Linked DNA regions of Astyanax mexicanus. The protein of the gene in region 1 binds, or shares a complex with, the protein of each later gene. Links are inferred from orthologs where the notes say so. Each region holds a gene or a part of one and is shown in the gene's direction. Other genes may lie near its edges.

The links.
Region 2: gtf2e2 (region 1) and polr2f share a complex: the UniProt entries of both Homo sapiens proteins name them as parts of the TBP-based Pol II pre-initiation complex. The link is inferred for Astyanax mexicanus from reciprocal best matches to the Homo sapiens genes GTF2E2 and POLR2F.

The regions. Positions count from the first base shown.
Region 1 is NC_064432.1:19,868,245-19,879,615, forward strand, and holds the start of gtf2e2 (transcription initiation factor IIE subunit beta), read left to right. Parts: upstream 1-6,228; 5' UTR 6,229-6,253; intron 6,254-9,467; exon of another isoform or gene 9,468-11,371. Other genes in the region: prom1b (prominin 1 b), read right to left, coding at 3,170-3,452. UniProt on the Homo sapiens protein: Recruits TFIIH to the initiation complex and stimulates the RNA polymerase II C-terminal domain kinase and DNA-dependent ATPase activities of TFIIH. Both TFIIH and TFIIE are required for promoter clearance by RNA polymerase.
Region 2 is NC_064410.1:9,738,950-9,750,429, reverse strand, and holds the start of polr2f (DNA-directed RNA polymerases I, II, and III subunit RPABC2), read left to right. Parts: upstream 1-7,073; 5' UTR 7,074-7,227; coding exon 7,228-7,247; intron 7,248-10,222; coding exon 10,223-10,292; intron 10,293-11,480. UniProt on the Homo sapiens protein: DNA-dependent RNA polymerase catalyzes the transcription of DNA into RNA using the four ribonucleoside triphosphates as substrates.

The DNA.
Region 1 (11,371 bases):
CTTTCAGAGTGCATTACTGTATTTGGCGATTATTGGACAGTATATTACATTACATTACATTACATTACATTTGGCAGACGCTTTTGTCCAAAGCGACTTACAATAGTCAAGTACAAAAGTAATAGAAGTTAAGATAAAACATTTTTAGATAGGGCTTAAAGGAGGTCGAAGGGAAATAAAGGGATAGAGAAGTGAAGGAGAAGTAGTTAGTGTGTTAGAGGTGTTAGGAGACTAAGTGCTCTTCGAAGAGTTCTGTCTTCAGGAGTCTCTTAAAGATAGTGAGAGATTCTCCTGATCTGGTAGTGGAGGGTAGTTTGTTCCACCATTGGGGAACTCTGTATGAGAACAGTCTGGATTGCTTTGTGTGAATGTTTGTTTGGCAAAGCGAGGCGACCTTCATTGGAGGAGCGCAGCGGCCGGAAGGTAACGTAAGTCTTCAGGAGTGAGTGCAGGAAGGAAGGAGCTGTTCTGTCATCACCTTGTAGGCGATTGTAAGAGTTTTGAATTTGATGCGAGCATCAACTGGTAGCCAATGGAGCTCAATGAGCAGTGGGGTGACATGTGCCCGTTTTGGTTGGTTGAAGACCAGACGTGCTGCTGCATTCTGGAGTGTAAAAAGAGACCAAATTGATGTGTTTCTTTGATTTTACCAAATTGAAAACCTCTGGAATATAATCAAGAAGAATATGGATGATCACAAGCCATCAAACCAAGCGGAACTGCTTGAATTTTTGCACCAGTAGTGGCATAAAATTATCCAAAAGCAGTGTGTAAGACTGGTGGAGGAGGAGAACATGCCAAGAAGCATGAAAACTGTGATTAAAAACCAGGGTTAAAACTTTACGAATATGAACTTGTTTTCTTTGCATTATTTGAGACCTGAAAGCTCTGTATCTTTTTTAGTTCAATAAAACAACAATGTTCATTTTATGTTCATATACCTATAAATAGCAAAATCAGAGAAACTGATTCAGAAACTGAAGTGGTCTCTTCATTTTTTCCAGGGCTGCATATTGCATTGTAAGCTCTGTATTAATGATACATCTTGCTGATACAGAGTCCTAATTATTTGAGACGATACATAAGACAGAACACACTGTACTAACATGTTTACCCTGTATTATTTCATACCCGTGTGCTGAACAGGATGGACGCGTGTGTTGTGGACTGTTTGTGTAAGCACTGTGTGTAGGTACAGGGTAGGCACTGTGTTGGCAGCATATGGCACTCAGATTATCAGCTTACCTGATTGGACAGGTGACTCAGAGAGCCCCGCCTAATCGGGCAGATCGGCTAATTGATTAGGCAGCAGGGACTTACCACTGCAATCCTATTCTCCCCTAAACACACACATTTACACACACAAGCTCCATTCTGTAGCTCCATATAAACAACTGCTCCACAAAAAAACACCTGCTTAACCACCTGACCTGAAACCCAGAGAAAACAACTCCATCTGTGATTTAAAAAAAATAAAAATATATACATTGTTATTCACTCTCCTGTCCTTTAACTTTTCCCTTTTATTGTATGAAAAGATAAATCAAAGTGTTACAGGTGCTATTGTAAAAGTTCTACACAACCAAACAACAAAACACACACACAGTAGTCTTGAGAGTCCTAACCACTCAATCATCACTGCCCCTGTGATCCATGTGCAATTTACAACCCACATAGCGTCCATGTTTAACCCCTACTGGTCCCCTCACGAACCCTGATGGGTCACTAACATCCACATGTGGGCCAACATGGACCCTGTGGACAAAATTCATGAGCTACCCACCCCTTTGCCATGCGCAGCTCATACAGACCCCACATGGGCACTTGGTCACTGTTACCAAGGTTGTGGGTTTGATACCAGGGGGGTATTGGTACACTATACTTTTTGGCCCTTGAGCTGCCGTGATGGATTGCTGCCCACTGCTCTGAACACATATAAGTTATAATTACGAGATACTAACTCATCATTTTGAGATACTAACTTATAATTATGAGGAACTATGTCATAGTAATGAGATACTAAGTCATAATTACGAAGAACAAACTCATCGTTATTAGATAAGTCATAACTTTAAGATACTTAATCATAATTATGAGGAACTAAGTAATTATTATGAGATACTAAATCATAATTTTGAGATATTTATAATTATGAATAACTAAGCCATAACAACAAGATACTAGGTCATAATTAGGAGGAACTAACTCATTATTATGAGAAGTCATAACTTTGAGATACTAACTTATAATTATGAGGAACTGAGTCATCATAACGAGATACTCAGTCATAATAATGTCATAATAATGAGATACCTACTGGTACTGGTCATTATTATGAGACAGCAATTCACAATAATGACCAAGTATCTCATTATAATGACTATGCATTTCATAATTATACATTATGACATAGTTTCTCATAATTATAGTTTCTTATTATTATGACTTATAATCTCATTATTATGACTAAGTATTTCATTATTATGATTTACTGGACGACTCTTTCTTTCAGGAACTCTTAGTGGTGTAGCACAGCATAGTCACCAAGGCCTGGAATTGAACCCCAGTCTCCCACATGGAAGCTCACTTGCATGCAGTGGTGTTATCCACTGAACCACACCAACCACTAACCACTAAAATTATCAACATACTTAAAATAAAAAATTCAAACATTGACACAAGTGACAATGAAGTGTAATTACCAGAATTGGAAACAGCATTACTGTTACGGAATTTAAAAATGTCAAATAACAACATTCAAAGAACATCCAGAAAACTTTACAGATTAAACTGTCTAAGAACATTAACTCCCTGCAAAAAAATCCAGTTCAAGACCAGCTGGGCTACCAGAAAAAAATATACTCTATTCTGGTGGGCTATTGATCAGATAGGTATTTTATCAGTAACGTTTAGAAAATGTTCTACTAACCAAAAACTGTAAGCTAGATAAACAATTTTAAAGAGTTTAAATTAACTCTGATACAGTAAGTTATTTGAGTTAGTTGATTTTGCTGTGCACAGCTGCACCACGCCCCCTTCCACATCTGCACTCCCCACTCTACCAGCAGAATGCAAAATCAGAATGCAGCGTGATTGCGTTCACACTGTTATCTTTATTTTGAATCAATTGAATGCTATCAACTAGAATTCGGATCGAACGCTCGCTCACCTTTGGGGAAGGGGTTGGGCTGCACGGCGTACAGCAGAGCGTGCACCATGTGGAACAGCAGACCGATGGGTCCGGGCTCGTAGTACGCGTGCGTCTCGTACACCACGGACGGGACGTAGCCGAAGTCCAGCACCTCAGCCGCGTGCGCCCGGTGCGTGTCCGCGCGCGCAGGGGCTCCGGTGGAGGCGGAATTCTTCTGCTGCTGCTGCCGATCCTCGCGCGCCCAACTGCACGAGCCCCCGCAGTAAAACAGCAGCAGCGCGAGCCGCGTTTTCCACAGCATCGCGAGCGGCTCTTACAGAGGAAGACCCCCCTAAAATAAACCGGATTCAATTAAAGCGAATTGATAAATGAATTAGGAATCCGAACCGGAGCAAAACCTCAGCACAGCTTAGATCAGATCCTCGCGTTCTTTCCCCGAATTCCACATAAAAAACAGGAGGAATAAAAGCTCCAGTATGAATTCAGGCGCGCGCCGGTTCCGCAGGACTCATCCTCCGTTATCTTCCACACTATCTCTCCTCCTTCTGCTGCTCGCGCGCCCAGGATACACCGCCGCTCCTGCTGGAGCGCGTGCGCGGGACTGTAGCCCGTCGAGTGTGTGTGTGTGTGTGTGTGTGTGTGTGTCATCACGCATGCGTAAATACACTATACCACTTTATTTTTAAATAGCATAGTAGTATTAACCTCATCAGACCTGGACTTTCTCCTACCTATGTGGGATTAGTAGTACCTAACAAGTATAAATATAAACTTTGTCTTTATACAGGAAGTTATTTTTGCAAAAAAACAATGCCTGCAATTCACAATTTTTTACGAATAATTTTATTGTAGCTTCCTATTATTACTAAATATTTGTCAAAAAAAGCATGACATATTAAGCCAGCCATGTTATTGTACTACACAAAGTACTGTCTCCAAAAGTGCCCAAATTTAGCATATTTTCACATTTAAGCATATTTTGCCCATTTAAAAATCCCACATTCATTTTTTTTGTTTGTTTCATTAGAAAGCAATAAAGGGGATGGCAGAAATAACCGTTGACTAATCAAGTAATCAGCTAATTAAAAAAAACAGTTAAATTAACTTTCAGACACCAAATAATGCAAAGAAAACAAGATCAATTTCTGAAAGAGTTTAGAGTTCAGAAATCAATTTTTGGTAGAATAATTCTGGTTTTTAATCACAGTTTTCATGCATCTTGGCATGTTCTTCTCCACCAGTCTTACACACTGCTCTTGAATAACTTTATGCCACTCCTGGTGCAAAAATTCAAGCAGTTCAGTTTGGTTTGATGGCTTGTGATCATCCATCTTCCTCTTGATTATATTCCAGAGGATTTCAATTTTGTAAAATCAAGAAAAAACATCTTTAATAAGTGGTCGATTATTTTTTTTCAGAGATGTATATAAACACAAAAGATATTCTAGACTGGGACTTTTTACTGTATATAAAGTATTTGTACTTTATAAACAGAACCTGAATGAACAGCTTATTCACTCGCATACCTGTTCTGTCCAAGTGAGGGTATGGGCTGCCCTTTCCCTCCTCTAAACACAAAGAGCTGTGATCTAATGCACAGACTGAGCCCCTTCGCCCCCGTCCCCCCAGTCCCGCCTGGCTGGGCTCATGTTTCTCTCAGTATAATAAGACTGCATCTGTAACAATCCCCTGACTTAAACACCATTCAGATCGCCCTCTCAGCACAGAGCTGAGCCAGCCGGGCCGGATCAGTCTGCCTTCCATGACTGTAGGAACGGTTTAATCCTCAAGAAATTTGACCTTTCTTGTAAATATGGACATTTTAAATGAGATTACAAATCATAGGAAATAAAAGAAATACTGATTGCAAACAAAATACACATTTACCCATCCTAGATGCCTCCGAGCACAGAGAAGTTAATGCCTCTTCTGGACATGGTTACCATGGTTACGAAGTTTTAAGTGGTGTTTATGAATGTAACTCTGTATTGTAGTGCTTGAAGATTGGCTAAAGTAATCCCTTGCCCATGTGGTCATATTTTATATATCTTTTGCTAAAATAGAGACAGCTTTGCACATCTTGTCTGGATTTTCTCAGGTAGAGTCACCTGGTATTCAGGATTCAGGAACAGCTGTGCTGAACTCGTCAAGAGTTCATTACTTGATTTTTTTTGAGTGCATCAGTTGTAAAGTTGTGAAGAGGTAGAGTTGGTATACAGTGAATATACCTATTTGAGTAATGTTCTAATCCATGTTATGGCAAAAACTACTTGACTAGGTAAAAATAAAAAAATACTTTAAGGAATAAAGGTCAGTAAATCTGAAACATTTCAAGAACTTTGACCAAAGACCATTCAAAACGTTGAAACTGGTTCTCATCAGGACTGCCCCAGGAAAGGAAGAGCAAGAGTTACCTCTGTAGCACAGGATAAGATCATCAGAGTTACCAGCCTCAGAAAATGCAGGTTTACAGCACCCCAGATAAAAACACTTGAGAGAATTTTTGTTTGTTTAACACTTTTAAGTTACTGCATGATTTCTTATGTGTTCCTTCATAGTCTGGATAAAAATAAAAAAAAACATTGAATGAGAAGGTGTGTTTAAACTTTTGGTACTGTTCATTAATTGGACCTCCTGGGTTTAAAGGAGAAGGTGGGGGGTCAAGGCCTTAATGCTACCTCCTTGAAATTAGTTTTTGCAGGGTGTCTGTCTGGTGTCGTCTGAGGGATGGAGATCACAAGCTTAGGCTTGTGCTTGTACGTCTTTATGTTTCAGGGCTGAAGGTGCAGCATTGGACGTTGCTGTTTTTACAAAAGAGATGCATGCATCTCAGTTTCACCATTTAACTTTTGACACAGTATGATATGAACATACATATGGATAAAGTGCAGAATGTTAGATTTAACCTAATAAACTCTTTGTGTGTAGTTCATGAATAGCTATCTAACCATCCACACATCTGCTTCTTTCTGCTTCTTTCAGATCAGGGTCGCAGTGGGTTCAGAATCTACCCGGAATCATTTGGCACGAGGCAGGAATACACACCCTGGACAAGGTACCAGTCCATCACACTACCTACTATTTTGGATTGGACCAAACAAGGTAGGTGTAAAATCCTTTCTTAGGTGTAATAAAAGTTAAAGGGCACATGTACCACTTTTTGTATGTATTATTTATGCTTGTTTTATGCTTTAAAGACAAAGTAATCTTTAATTTTAACATGGCCAACCTCTCAAGATCCCTTCAAATTAAACAGGCTGGTCCCATCAGGGGTGACACATTTTTAAACACCTAATTTTACCTACAAAAGTGACTTAATTCAATTACTATTTTAGAGACAGTTCAGACAATTTATCACCAACAATGAGTTCATGGGAGTTCATGCATTTTACTTATTTTTTGATGAATACGCCACTGTTACTCAAAGTAAATAAGGCAATTCTTACTCCTAATGTTTCACTGTTTAATTGAACATGCATTTAACTTGGCCTAGGGTTCATTTTGAGGGCGCATATTGAAAAAAAAAAATAGGTTTCAGCAAAAGCTGGATATTGTGAAATGGCAGTGGGCCTGACGATTCCTTCTCCAGGTTTACTTGCATGCGGTGAGTTTTAGAGGTAGGTGTATTCTCCTTTCAATCATGTAAAATTTATTATTTTATGAAGCAATAGAAACAGCACTGTATGGACTAATATTTTATGTTAAATGTGGGGGGGGGGGGGGGGCGGGGGCACATGGTGGGTAAGATCCATCTGTGATCAATGAGTCTGGGTCCACTGCAGCCTCAGCTTTCTGTTCTTGGCAGACAGAAATGGAACCCGATGTGGGTCTTCTGCTGGCACACTTTAATTTGACAGAGATAGGCTGTCCAAAACGCTTGTAATGCTTTGAAAGTACTACATAACCTCATATTTAAAAAAGAAAGTCCTTAAAATTCTGAATGTTTCCCGAAACCTTTTATAACTAGTACTTAAATTCTTTCATAAGTTTGGAGACTAAGAGAAATCAGTACTGTACCATCACCTTTCTGTAGCAGCACCATGCTGCCTCACGATTGAATAACTGCTTAAAAAGTAGATGTACGGGTGTTTCTAATGTATTGGTAATACATATAATAACTTGCTCAGTCTGTGTGTAAGAGACCTCTTTCAGAAAAACGCACAGATCGGATCAGAGTCAAAAATCCCTGGAGTTTAGCAGGCATGATAACAGCTCAGCTACACACACAATCTCTCCCTTTATATGTAAGCTGGGATTAGATAAGTCCCACGCTTCAGGAATCAGGACTGATTTGATCTGTGCTGCAGGTAAAATATAAGTGCATTGCTTTGTCTCTCTCACACACACACATTCAAAAACATATATACACATTTTTTTATTCCGCATAGTTCCCAGCTTAATCTTGGTACATTAAGCTGTTAATAATCAACTTTTTTAATAAACCCAAAATGCTAAATACTGATGGTTAGAATTAACGCTGAAAGACAAGCAGTGTAGTAGTGTACCTCTTGTTACAAGATTAATGACTGCTAGACATGAAAAAATAAGGAAAACATCTGGAATATAATCAAGAGGAAGACGGATGATCACAAGCCATCAAACTGAGCTGAACTGCTTTATTTTTTTTCTATCCAAAAGCAGTGTGTAAGACTGGTGGAGGAGAACTTGCCAAGATGCATAAAAACTGTGAAAAAAAGTGATTTTACAAAATATTTTTAAGATTTCTGAACTTCAGAGAAACTGATTCAGAAACTATAGTTGTCTCAAATGCATCACAGAGGCATGTAAAGCAGTCAACAATCTCTTACCAAGAGGTACACTACCCAAAGGTTGCCACTTTTGTACAAAGACCCAGTGTCTAATCATATCTCATCTGTAATCATTTTTGCGATAACCCAGTATGTTTTTTTGGTGAAAAGAGAAATTAGGAAATAGTGTTTCATCTTCTACCTAATGAAGATCTGCTTATCTTCTGCTGTATAAATTTACGAGTGTACACCCAGCTTATTACTGTATGTGTATGAAAATATGTCTCTTGAGGTATGTATGCTATGTATTGTTCAATAATACTGTCACAGAGTGCAAGTAATAATATATGATGATATGACAGGCCCATGAGCATGTATTGTACGAAATGTTCGGTAGAGGAGATCTGCTTACATCTTTAACTCCATGTGGACCAAAACTGCCTTTCTGGACCGAAACCATGGCAACATGCTGCATAGCAACAATCAGTGCACACACAGACATCATTCTAGAATTAGGAGTATCCACCCCCCCCCCCCCCCCCCAATAAATCAATCTTTATTAAATCGATATTTAAAAATTATGCTACACTAATTAAACATATTTGTCACTATTTAAAATGCTGTGTATTTTAGGCAAAATGTATAGACAAAATATTAATAAACTAATAATTTTTTAATTATTATTGTACATGTAAAGATTGGTGTCATACTTTTGTTCATAGTGATGTGTTTAAACCCATCCAATAGAAAGCATTCTAGTTGTTCTATTTGGATGAAAAGTTAACTTTTCTTCTACTCAGATTTTAGAAATATGTTTTTCTTAAACTTAATTTAAACAATCACATTACATCACCCTTCATACAGTATCACAGTACATCATAACCCCTCTATCATGATAGGTTTCATATCGCTAAGTTCTTCCTAATACACAGCCCTACTCTTAACTCTAATATAAAACAGCATTACATCTGCAATATATATATATATGGCTGCAAAATAAGTCAAACTTCTAATCTCATTATTTTGTATAACATTTCTAAGACAAATCAACAGTATTTAAGTTACTTAGTGAATCTCTTAGTTTTTAATAAATTATAATGTGTAAAAAATGAATAAAATCCCTGTCTTTAGACGTGTGGAATCTAGATTGAGCTTAGCACACAGAGTTACATATATAATACTTCTCTCTACCACAAAATCTGTTTGTGACCTAAAGCTTAAGCGTACTTGGGTTCTGCAGCAAGACAATGATCTGAGACACACCAGCAAGTCAAAACGTTTTGGAGTGGCCTAGTCAGTTTTAAATAAAGATTCACTGCCAGTTATCACAAATGCTTAATGGCAGTTGTTGCCATCCAGGGAGGCAATTTGTTTTTCACATATTGCCAGGATGACTTTGACTTAGGACAGCTTTTTTTTTCTTGTAATAAAAGAAATTATCATTTAAAAACAATCTTTAAACATTTACTCAGGTTATCTCTGTCCGAGATTAAAGTAAATTTGGAGCAAAAGCAAAAGCTTTTTCAGAAGCATAGTACACATGCACAGAAATAAAATAATTCAAGTGGTACAAAACAACAAAACTTTTATTCACAAATGCAATACCTTTCATGTGCCCGCCCCCATTCCTTCCCGTCCCACCCCCCTGAAAATACATCACTTACAAAGGATGTGAAATGATCCATCTGCTTCTGCTCTTACAGAAAAAGCTAATCAATAACTCAGTAACTGCAGATATCGATATTAATCAATAAAATAAGAGGAAACATACTGTATCTGTATGAATCAGAAAAAAAGAGAGAGAGAATAAGAGAGGTGAGAAGAGGCTATGTTCAGACTGCTAGTCCAAATCAGATTTTTATATCTAGATTGTGTCCAGATTGCTTTTTAATTGTCTGTACAGACTAAAACCACATTAAATCAGATTTTTGCAAGTCGGATCCAAACCACATTTGTCTGAGGTGGTCTGAAATGCGATTATAATCAGATTTGCAGAGATGCCTGATAATCAGATTTCAGTGCGTCTTTTGCAACATTTACAATACGACAACCAACAACCTCATCAAATCCAGAGTAATGAATTAAAGGCATCAATCTTTATAACACAGGAAACTGAACAGATACATTTGTGATATCTGGACGCACAAGTTCTATCTAATCATAATAACAATTGCTCTGCAGTCTGATCATAGTCTTGAAGTCTGATAGGTTAGAAAGCATTTAGCTTAATATCTTACAAAAAGACCCAACATTTGCACACACTATGCAGATAGAATTGAGATATAAAGGTTATGTGCTGGTATAGATTATCCCAGTACACACTGGGGTTTGGGGACTGACTGCTGGACCTTATTACATGCTAAGCTTAGTGATATCAGAGGAAAAAAAACATTGGGGCAGCTTCCATAATTATAGATGAAAATTCAGCAAGAAAAAATGTCCAAATAAAACAAAACCTAAAAGATACGATGGCAAACTTCATATTTGACTTGTTTCTTATACTAAATATATACACTGACATACCAAATGGCATGAGACAGGAGCTATTATTGTGTCCCTTGCATTGCTAAATTTGCTTGATCATTTGTGCACACAGGCAGTTCTAGACAAAAGCAACTCAGTACACTGTCCACTGTGGGTGGTAATGCCTTCTATGACTTATATAACTTCTATGACTGATAGGAATATTAAACGCCCACACAACTTCAAAAATTAAACGTCCCTTCCTTCTGGCACTGACTATTAGGCCGCACTCCCATAATTCACCTGGCCTTGCCATGAGCATGCTGGCCAGTGTCCAACATCACTCACAACTTAGAATACAGGTGTGGGCATTCCCAAGGCAAAACTTCATTATTAAAATACACACTGCTGTCCCATGACTTTTGGCATGTCAGTTATTTTTATTTTATTTTTATTAAATATCTATTTTATACTTATGCATGTATTATGAAGTCTTACTCCTTCAAAAAACACACTGAAGTTTGAAAAATTAAAATGAGAAAAGAAAAAAGGAAACAAGAGCAATGCCAACATTTTTCAAGAAAATCCTAATGTTTGTTTTAAACATGAAAGCTTTGTATTTCCATAGTACTTCTCTAGATATTCTGTCCTATAAGCTGTTATTATAAGCACCAAAAATCAGAAAGATTTATTTCATCTTTAAAGATTAAAAAAAAAAATAATAATTTTAATTCACCCACAGGTCAGAACCACTCAGTAAACTAGATCAATAAATAAGAATCTTAAAGACTGAGGAGCTACCCATACCCATGTTATAATGTATGATAGATATTTTTTGTTCATGTAACCACATAAACTGAAATATAGTTTGATTTAGTAAACTAAAGTGCATTTTTCAGTCCATATGTTCACATATATTTTTTTATTATTAAGGTGGTCTAAAATAATACTATATTAAATGTCGAATCAGGATGTTTTTGGAGTGACGCCATTTAAACAGAGCAAAATC
Region 2 (11,480 bases), on another chromosome or scaffold:
TTTTGTAACCTATACAAAGAAAAGAGAATGATAAATGGTATTGTATTATGTCTTTTTGTGATTAGACTTGCCTGTAATATCCTATGATATTCAATGATGTTCAATAAATAACTGTTTGGGTAAAGAGTTGATTACATTATATACATTTTATATAATTTTACCAGGGGTATATGCCTTTTGGTTTAGTCTGGAGAGGCTAAAGGGGTATATAAAGCTGGGTAAATGGGATATTTTGGGGGGGCGTAAGGACGTAAGAGGCTGGATCAGTTTTATACAAACAATTTGTTTGCCCAGCTATAGAGTTCAAAAGACTCTGTTATTGACTGTGTATGTCATACTTTAGGGTCTAGCTTAGTGGTAGCTTTAATCCACTTATTCCAGCCAACTCTAGCTAAAGTGTGAATTATTGTATATATTGTTTTGTTTTGTGTATAAAATAAACTAACACCAACTGAGATGAGATCTTATACCTGCTTAAAACGTTCATCCTTTTCCTCTAAAACCTGCTGTTACTCTTAAACACGAGACCCAAACTACCTCAGTGCAATTAGTTATATTTTTACTCAGGGCAGTGCTTACTTTTGTAATGGCTGTCTTGAGTTATTTTGAGTGCACATAAAATGTACACTGTTACACAAGCTGTACACTGACTACTTCATCTATTACCGTCACATCCAAACATTAGAACACCATATTGTTTTAATATAATGATTGACAGATTTATGCATAAAAAATATTTTACCTGAATGATTTTTGTGTTTGGTCTATGTGGATGGTCACTGTCTCTTAGGGGAGGACATAAGTTTCCACAGGGTGGGACCAGCTATGAACACAAAGGAAAGAGAACACAAACAGAGTAGGCATATTTTAATTCTGTGCTCATTTCACTACATTTTAAATTTTAGACCTCTTTTTTTCAGACCACTGTGTGTGTGTGTGTGTGTGTGTGCATGTGTGTGTGTGTGTGTGTGTGTGTGTATGATATGGCTCTTCCAACCATCACTGATTGGTGGAAACTTCACACTAGACCTCAAGCAGCTTGGACTGTGTGTCTCTCCACTCTTCCTCCAGACTCTGCTCCCTTAATTTTACTGATGATCAGTGATGGTTTGTAGAGCCACGTCATCTGCTGGTGTTGGTCCACTGTGTTTTATCAAGTCCAAAGTCAGTGTCAGTCAATATTACAGCACTCCATGCTTCCCTCTGCTGTCAACTTTTATGGAGATGTGGATTTTTTTTCCAGCAGGACTTTGCACATTGCCCACACTGCCAAAAGTACCCATTGGTTTTATAAAATATTTTCTGATTTTCTGAGATACTGATTTTTGGGTTGTAAGCCATAATCAACAATAATAATAAAAAAAAGCTTAAACTTGATCACTTTTTGTGTGGTATTACACACAGAGTGATCTATTTTAAACATTTATTTATTTTATTGTTGATTAGTTACTAAATTAAAGTAGCTTTTCAATGATAATCTATTTTTTGAGAGACATTAGTATATAACACATATACTAGTATATATACAGTCATGACCGAAAGTATTGGCACCCCTGAATTTTTTCCAGAAAACGAAGTGTTTCTCCCAGAAAAATATTGCAATTACACATGTTTTGTTATAAACATGTTTATTTTCTTTGTGTGGAAAAACACAAAAAAACTGAGGAAAAAGAGGCAAATTTGACATAATTTTACACAAAACTCCAAAAATGGGCCGGACAAAATTATTGCACCTTTTCAAAATTGAGGGTAATAACTTTGTTTCAAGCATGTGATGCTCATTCAAACTCACCTGTGATAAGTAACAGGTGTGGGCAATTTAAAAATCATGCCTGAAACCACATAAAAAGGAGAGAAATTGAATCAATCTTTGCATTGTGTGTCTGTGTGTGCCACACTAAGCATGGAGAAGAGAAAGAGGAGAAGAGAACTGTCTGAGGGCTTAAGAACCAAAATTGTGGAAAATTATTAACAATCTGAAGGTTACAAGTCCATCTCCAGAGATCTTGACGTTCCTTTGTTCACGGTGCGCAACATAATCAAGAAGTTTACAACCAATGGCACTGTAGCTGATCTCCCTGGACATGGACGGAGAAGAAAAATTGATAAAAAAGGTTGCAAAGCAGGATAGTCCAGATGGTGGACCCAATCAAGTTCCAAAGAAATTCAAGTTGTCCTGCAGGCGCAGGGTGTATCAGTGTCAGCTCGAACTATCCGACGACATTTGAATGAAATGAAACACTATGTCAGGAGACCCAGGAGGACCCCACTGCTAAAAAAGCTTGACTGCAGTTTGCCAAATGTATGTAAGTAAGCCAAAATCCTTCTGGGAAAACATCTTGTGGACAGATGAGAACAAGATAGAGATTTTTGGTGAAGCACAACATTCTACTGTTTACTGAAAACAGAATGAGGCCTACAAAGAAAAGAACACAGTACCTGCAGTCAAATATGGTGGAGGTTCAAAGATGTTTTGGGGTTGTTTTGCTGCCTCTGGCACTGGGTGCCTTGAATGCGAAGGCGTCATGAAATCTGAAGATCAAAGGATTTTGGGTCGCAATGTAGGGCCCAGTGTCAGAGAGCTGGGTTACAGTCCTAGGTCATGGGTCTTCCAGCAGAATAATGACCCCAAACATACTTCAAAAAGCACCCAGAAATGGATGGAAACAAAGCGCTGGAGAGTTCTAAAGTGGCCAGCAATGAGTCCGGATCTAAATCCCATTAAACACCTGTGGAGAGATCCTAAAATTGCTGTTGGGAGAAGCACCCTTCAAATATGACTTGGAGCAGTTTGCAAAAGAAGAGTGGTCCAGAATTCCAGTTGAAAGGTGTAAGAAGCTTGTTGATGGTTATAGGAAGAGATTGATTTTAGTTATTTTTTCCAAAGGGTGTGCAACCAAATATTAAGTTGAGGGTGCCAATAATTTTGTCCGACCCATTTTTGGAGTTTTTTGTAAAATTATGTCAAATTTGCTTTTTTTCCTCAGTTTTTTGTGTTGTTTCAATACACACAAAGGAAATAAACATGTGTATAACAAAACGTGTAATTGCAATAATTTTCTGGGAGAAATACTTCATTTTCTGGAAAAAAAATCAGGGGTGCCAACACTTTCGGCCATGACTGTATGTTCTGACTGCAGCCTTTCTGCAAAGTGCAGTATTGTAAGGGCTTGTACAGTGCAATGTTTCTCCTAGCGTATTGCAATTAATTGGCATAATCAACATGTAATCAACATTACTGGCATAATCATCATGTTGAATACTGTGTCATAATCCACAGTAAAAATCAAAACATTTTCTAATATATTAAATTTAAGTTGAGTAGTCGGTTGATGGACAAAGCTGTGACAAACAGCTAGCTGTACTAAATATTCTGCACAAGAAATATGAAAATAAAAACAGTGAAATGAACTAAAAAAATCTAACAGAAAATCCAACCTGCTTTAGCATACATACATGCATACATACACACATACATAAACAGAAAAGCCAGCTTTTCAAATTCTGACCACAGTCCGGGTACGGACAGTAGTTTTCATGTGCAGGTTTGGTTAACCTTTTTCAGCAACAACAAAAACCTTTTCCCGGATCAAAAACAGAGCTGTAAGAATTTAGGGTTAGTTGTGGGTGGGTGTAGACTCTTACCTCTTTATAAACGCTGCTCAAACAGTTGTCCTATTCTAACGCTGCACCGGACCTCCGTAAGAACAGCACCGGAAAACAGAGGTTTAGTATCTTAAAGCCATTTTGTGTCACCTGTTATACCTGCATCTCATAAACAACAAAATGTCGGACTGATTATTTTTTACTTTCACTTTAAATACGCAGCTCATCAGCGCCCCACAGCGGAATGTAGTGGAAACGCAGCGCCACTTTTTCACAAATAAATAAAGCGAACACCAGGTCCTGTATGACCTTCCTACAACGCCTGGGCGTGCTCCTGATCTGTATTAAAGCATCAGTCAACTCCTAGACAGTCTGTGATGCTACCTACCATTGATGGATATCCCTGCACAGTGTTGGGCTGTAACAACAAGCCCCACTTGTTTCTGACAGTTTAAGCAGAAAAACTGATATTAGTGGTCTGCTTGACACAAAATGGATTTAAGATACTAAACCTCTGTTTTTCGGTGCTGTTCTTACGGTCAGCGACTGGGAGTCAGGAACCATGAGACCAAAACACATCTCCTGCATGACCAGAGCTGTATATGTTATGTCACTGTTAATCACTAGAGAGATCTCTATTAAACCATGATACAGAACAGCTGTAAATAACACACAGCTGGACTCTATTACCTAATTAAGTGTCAATTAATTGCATTGGTTTTTATTTAGAGGGTTCAGAATTAAGGGGGTTAAATACTTTTGCATGACATATTTTTTAGATTTTTATGATTAAAATTTTGGAAACCATGTATCATTTTTGTTCCACTTCACAATTATGTGCTACGTTTTGTTGGTCTATCACTTAAATCTCAATAAAATACATACAATTTATGGTTGTTATTTGAAAAAAAAATGGAATACCTCTCTAACTCTAAGCCCTGTGAGCTGCCTCTGACTTCCAAACTGTCCCTAAAAAAAAACAAAGAGATTTAACAATTTTTTCCATTTGTTAAATCTCTATTTTATTTCTCTTCCTATTTTCTGTATTCCTTTATTATTCACAAATTATCATTTTCTGTTTCTGTTTATTATGTTTTTTTCTATTTATTATGTTTTTTAATTATTGTATTTCAGCCAATTCCTACCATTCCAGGTTTAATTTGATCATTACACTACTCTCCACAGTCTAAAAGCTGACTTCCACATAATCTGCAGAATTCAGTCATACAGGTTTCTTTCTACCATTGCTATGTGAGCAGAAGGCCAGTATGTCTTTAAGGTTTATCTCTCATATAACATTATTACAAATAGTCCACCACCAAAGTTATGGTGTTAACTGGACAGTATAAAGTAAATATAATATTTGTCTATGTAATATGTTTCTATGTAATAATGTGTTCATTTTAAAGTACTTTCAGAGCTTAAAATATAGCTCTTCAAGAACAGGCTCAAACAATAATTATACACCAACTTTATAAAAGCATAAATGAAATGATCACTGCTTTAAAGGACACTGATAATAGATATTACACCAATACTGAGATGCGTTCACAGAGATTGTTCGGTAGTAAGATTGTGGGATAGAGTAGTAAAATACAGTTTTATCACTTAACCAGAGTACAATCCAACACATTTACTACACTCTGAAAAGCCACACTTTGAACTCTGCTATCTGCTGCTCTAAACAACAAACTCTCCTATTACTTTCTGTTTCTTTTTTAATGACACTGGGTGTTTTATTGGAAATTATTGTCTTTATTGTGAGTTCAGTTCATGCTAAAGAGTCATAATAAGAAGCCACAATTCACACATATTACACAAATCTTCAGCTGTACTGAAATCTAACAAATCCAGACTAGTGAAATTCTTAAATATTCTGTTACTGTAGAAACTGGGCAGATCTCTTTACTTGTTTTATGATATAAATGTGTTGTAGAATCACTTTCAGATTTCTATCAAATATATACCAGAATATCAGTGCTTTTACATTCCAATGCTCACAAGGTGCTTACCACACACAGCTATGCCCTGAACACACCAAACCTGATCCAGATCTTAAAGGGTTTAATAATTAACTGAAGATGTGGTGTGTTGTAACTGAGGATAATTTAAACTGGCCCTGGATATAGATTCTGAGGAATGCCTTATGCAACAACGACACCTTCTGGACAATCTAGTAAACAGTGTTCCACTCAGCTCCTTGGAAAATGTCTAGAATTTGTTCTTCTTCTTTGATACATTTTTCATAGTAGATAAATTAATAATTTAATAATTTCTAAACATTCTCATGTTTAACCCCAAAAGAGCTGTCTAACATTTTTAATTATATTAGCAAAAAACAAACGTATTTTTTTAGCAGTTCAATTGCAATTGCAACGTGACCAGTGAGAGAAAAAATATTATGAATCAATATTATTACAGTATTGTGTTCTGTTCCTCCTTGCTGTTTAGACATTTTTCATTTTAAGTGTTAAATTCAGGAGTTAAATAAGCAGATTTTATTCTATTCTAACACACCTGATCCAGTTTAACCAGCTCTGGATCCAGCTAGGTGTGTCTATATACTGTCCTTCAGTTCTGTCAGAGAGAAAAGCCTAAAGCAGGTCTCATGGCTAGAGCATTTATGCAAAGGCTCATTCTCCGCACTGGCAAAGAGATCTACTGATGCTGCTGTGCTGTGTAATTATTATTAGAATTTAAATCTAATAGATTAAATATGTTTTATTCTCAATAGAGCACGGAAATCACAGGATGTGCTGGAATGTTACAATTACAGATAAAAACAATAACTCGTTTAAAGTGGCGGCTTGTGATAAACATTATGATGGCAGTGCAAAAAACAAAAAAAACAAAACATTAAACATTTAATTGTGTCATGTGTGTGTTTATTTTCTCATACTGCGCACAGTTTAAAAGCCTGCATCTCTGTTGCATTAGTGCATGGCACTCGCATTGCAGTAGTGCATGGCACTCTTTTGATTGGCTACAATCCTTTATCAGACAAGACTGGGAAAACATTCTTCTCCCAGAATTATGAAATAATAAAGTAATAATTATAAGATGCTAAGTCATCATTCTGAAATATTGAGTCATAATTATCAGATAATAAATCATAATTATGGCATAGCAAGTCATAGTTATAAGATATTATCTCAATTATCTCATAATTATGACTTAGTGTGGGACCCATGTTTTTTTTCCAAAAAATCATAATTATGACTAAAATGAGCTTCAGAACAAAATATGAGTCTATGCAATTTGCAAAATCTGATTCTGTTTGCGTTTATTTCTGTGATAACGTGATGATACCGTGAATCTGGAAACTTTACCGCATTAATTGTCACATTGAGAAGTTTTATTTAGCGGTATAAACAACGCCTCTCCCTCCCTCTCCCTCCCCCTCCCTCCCTCTCCCTCCCTCTCCCTCTCCCCGCCACAGGTCATTTTCGGTGTGCGCTCCGTGTTTCTACCCGGACAGTTTACAGGAGAACACCGCTGAAGCAGCGCGGGGTGCAGGTTGCGGTGTGGCTTTAATTACTGATAGAATAAATAGGTTATTTTACTGTAATTTACTTCTAAATAAGCCTCTAGTTTAACCAGTAGATCCTCACTCAATCCAGGATGTCTGACAACGAGGACAAGTAAGTGTTTATAATCGCTAAACAACCCGAGTTTACCCAGACTTTATATCAGAGACAATACTTACGGTACTCCTACTAAAATAAATAACATTATTAATAACCCACTGATTAAATAACCGAGTTTACCCAGTTTATATCTGAAACAATACCACTACTGCTACTATTTCTAATATAAATAACATTAATAATAACCCACTGATTACATAACCGAGTTTACCCAGTTTATATCACCATGTTACCACCATACTACTATTATTTCTAATATAAATAACATTATTAATAACCCACTGATTAAATAACCGAGTTTACCAGGTTATATTAGAAGCAATACCACTACTACTACTAATATAAATAACATTATTAATAACCCACTGATTAAATAACCGAGTTTACCAGGTTATATTAGAAGCAATACCACTACTACTACTAAGTTACTAATATAAATAACATTATTAATAACCCACTGATTAAATAACCGAGTTTACCAGGTTATATTAGAAGCAATACCACTACTACTACTACTAATATCAATAACGTTATTAATAAACCACTGATAACCAAGTTTAGCCAGAGTTTATATCAGAGACAACTACTAATAGAAATAGTCATAATTTTATATATATAATATATTATATAATTATATATATATATATATATATATATATATATATATATATATATAAAGTATTGACTCATTTGTAATGTTGTTGTTGTTAGTAGTAGTAGTAGTAGTAGTAGTAGTAGTATTTTTGTCTCTCTGTTTTACACCCAGTTTTTTTTTTTTTTTTTTTTTTTTTTTTTTTTACTACAATCAACCAGAGTTTAACCTTAAGAGGTTAGAAAATTGAACTGATAAAGGTTAGATTTTCAGGGGTTTTTTTCAGTCTTATAATCTAAATTGCACAAAACAATGAAATATGGAAATTGTGAAAAAAAATTATGAAATGTGAAAAAAAAACACTATAAAATTCGAAAACTAAGTAAAACTTCATTTCTTTTTTGATATATTAAAGTACGTTTTACACCTATTTTAAGAAAATGCTAATGACAAACAATATATTAAAATATTATGGTAATTAAAGTCATATTGTAAAATCAGGATGTATATTTAAAGCAGAAAAGGTCATCATGAATAATTCAACATGTCTGCAACTCTATATCAAACATGTTACTATCAAATGCCAGTTTTCAATAAAATGGTCCATCCAGTCATGCAGTTTGCCATAACCGGGTGGACGCATGCAGGACAGCAAGTATAAAGTGATTAAGCTGGAAAATATGATTTCGGTGTAATCTTTTAATCTTATGTAATTTTAAAGGTTATGAGAATCCATAATGCAAAGTATTTTGATAATAACCTAAATAGTGTGTTATATTTCAGTCAGCTCAGTAGTGTTTTCAGCAATAATGTTGCTGAACCTAGACCTGACCTACTGCAGCAACCCCAGGTCATATCACTGCACCACAGGCTTGTATAGTACTGTATTTTTGCCCTTTTAGGTGCACTTAAAATCATTTCATCCTTCAAGTCACTCTGCTGAAGTACAGAGTTATACAGGAGATTCAGTTTAGTTCTCCAGCAGTATTAGCATTACCCACTAAGCGATATTTTTTTCGCCATTCAGAGGTGAGTATTATCGGCCTGTAGCCTGCTGCTTACCCCGACTAGCACTGCTGGAGCAGCATTAGCATTATGTGCTAACTGCGTTAAGCACTAGCCTTCTTTTTTCTGTTTAGAGGTGAATATATCAGACTGTAGTCTGCGTGTTTACCGTGTTAAAACAAGCTATGTGGGATGAATCGCTAGCTAATATCAGCCTGGCTTACTGGAACACTCAGGGTTCCTTAATGTAGTGCTGGCGGGCGGTGTTAGGTGCTAACCATGGCTAGTGCTAGTGATTAGCTGCTAATGTTAATATTGCTGCACCCAACCTTAGTGGAAATCAGAAAATCTAAGCTTACAGTAAATAAACAAAAGCTCTTTACTCACCCAAATAAACAATTTTCAGAAGAGAAATCTGTGTAGATTAACATAAAGAGACACCCCTGTTCCTTAATAGTGTTGCATAATGTGGCTTATAATCCGGCGAGCCTTATTTATTAAAATAGACAAAAAATAGACAGTTATTGATCGTGAGCAGTGAATTATAAGGTGTACTGATGATTTTTGGGAAAGTTAAAGGATTTTAAGTGCACCTTATAGTGCAAAATGCGGTAGACATTAGGCATGATTGGTGCATGGGTACAGCCTTCACTCTTCTTACCCTCATGCGCCCATCACTCTGGAACAGGGTAAATCTGGACTCATCTGAGCACATGACCTTCTTCCATTGCTCCATTGAGTCCAATCTTTATTCTCCCTCAAATTTGAGTTGTGCATGTGGAAATGCTCTTACTTTCACTATTAACAATGTCACTGAGTTCTAGTTTTTTCTACCATTTGATTTCACCAAGTGTTTAAATGATTGCAGATCATGTTCATTCAAGATTTTTTTTCTTTTTTCTTCCTTCCAGGAAGATGATGTTCCCCTCTGTCCTTCAAGTTTTTAATAATGCGATAACCCGATTCCCATCTCCTAAGATGTTTTCTTTGCTTAATGCATGCCAATAATTAGACTTTTCTAAAAAAAAAAAACAAAAAAAAAAACAACAACAACATATTTTCTATGACCAAAGGATGAGTCTTTCCACATGGATGTTTTTACAAATTAGGAGCTACTCACTGCATCAAACTTAATCACTTATGCAGTAATTATCCAATTGAAGGCTCTTACCTATTTTTTTAATTAAATCCACGTGGTGATTTTTTTTTGCCAGTGTATTAATGTCAGTGTTTTTGCCAGGCAGTGTATTAATGAGTGTTTAAACTCTCTGTCTGGGGGATGTGTGTTAAATGTGCTGTCAGTCTGATTCCTGTATAATCGGTGCTTTCTGAGTGTTGCTGCTTTAATCTGATCCTCTTCTGTCCGTTTCAGCTTTGATGATGGAGATTTTGATGATGTTGAGGAAGACGAGGGACTGGATGATCTGGAGAATGTGGAAGATGTAAGTGTTTTGATCTCTCAGATCTGATTCAGGTTCATCTTTATTAGATGACTAGAGTTGCAGACACTGCAGATTTTGCTCTAGTCTTCTTATCCCAATTAATTAATTAATTAATTTGTTCACCTCAACGTTTCTAATTATGCTTTTCTTAGCAGGAATAGCCCATAAACATAAATCGGCTGATAGGTCCACGTTTCCACAAATATTTTTTTCACATTTTATTTATATTATTTAAAATGTATTTACCAAATCTCATGTCTCACCATTCCCTAATAATTGTAGTCTAAATAATTGCTAAAACATTGCAATTGTATTATTATGCTATCATATCAATAGCATAAACTGGTCAAATAATAACAATTTTGTCATTTGTTTATTTTTTGGACAACAAAATTAAATAACCCAATAAAAATAGATATCATGACAGGCCTAGTCTTTAGGGTTGTGTGAAACATCTCATGATTGTCATTTGGTGCAGATTGGGGGAAAAAGAATAAACATAACTTTTAATACACACTCTTAAATAATTTGCTTACATGCATATATTCTGATATGGTAGTATGTGGCTCAGTGGTATTGCTGTGGTTTATATGGTTTACATTCAAATGTATGAGAGATTATTTATTACAATTACGTTATACATTCTTAAAATTTACTGAAATTAAAAAAGTTGATTCAGGGTTTTTTTGTTTTTTTTTTTGAAGATGTGGCAGAATATACATAAACAGCACAATTTAGGGCTATATGTTTTCAATAGTATACAAACACAATAAAACTTAATAGCAGTATTAGTATTAAAATCAGCATACAAACATATCTTTTAAAAATGGAACCATGCAAAACCTTCTTAGTTAAGGAAAAGTGTAAAATTGTAATAAAAGAAACATGGTGATATACATAGCAAATGAAATCTGTTGATAAACTCTTTGTACTACCAAAAATGCAAATATGATTTCTAAGTCATTTCATTGTTAATCATCAATACTGAACACTGACCCAGTTAGAGCCATAATTGTGTTTAATAAGGTGGATAGGGCCGGGTATAAAAATCGATAGCAATGGTTACCGGTTGAAATGTCTTGGTACTACGAGTGACGAAATGTCTAAAGAAATTTGGGTGCTGGTTTTCAATATTTCGCATGAAACGCACCAAACGCGAGAGAGCTCACACAGCGCGGTAAAAACAAC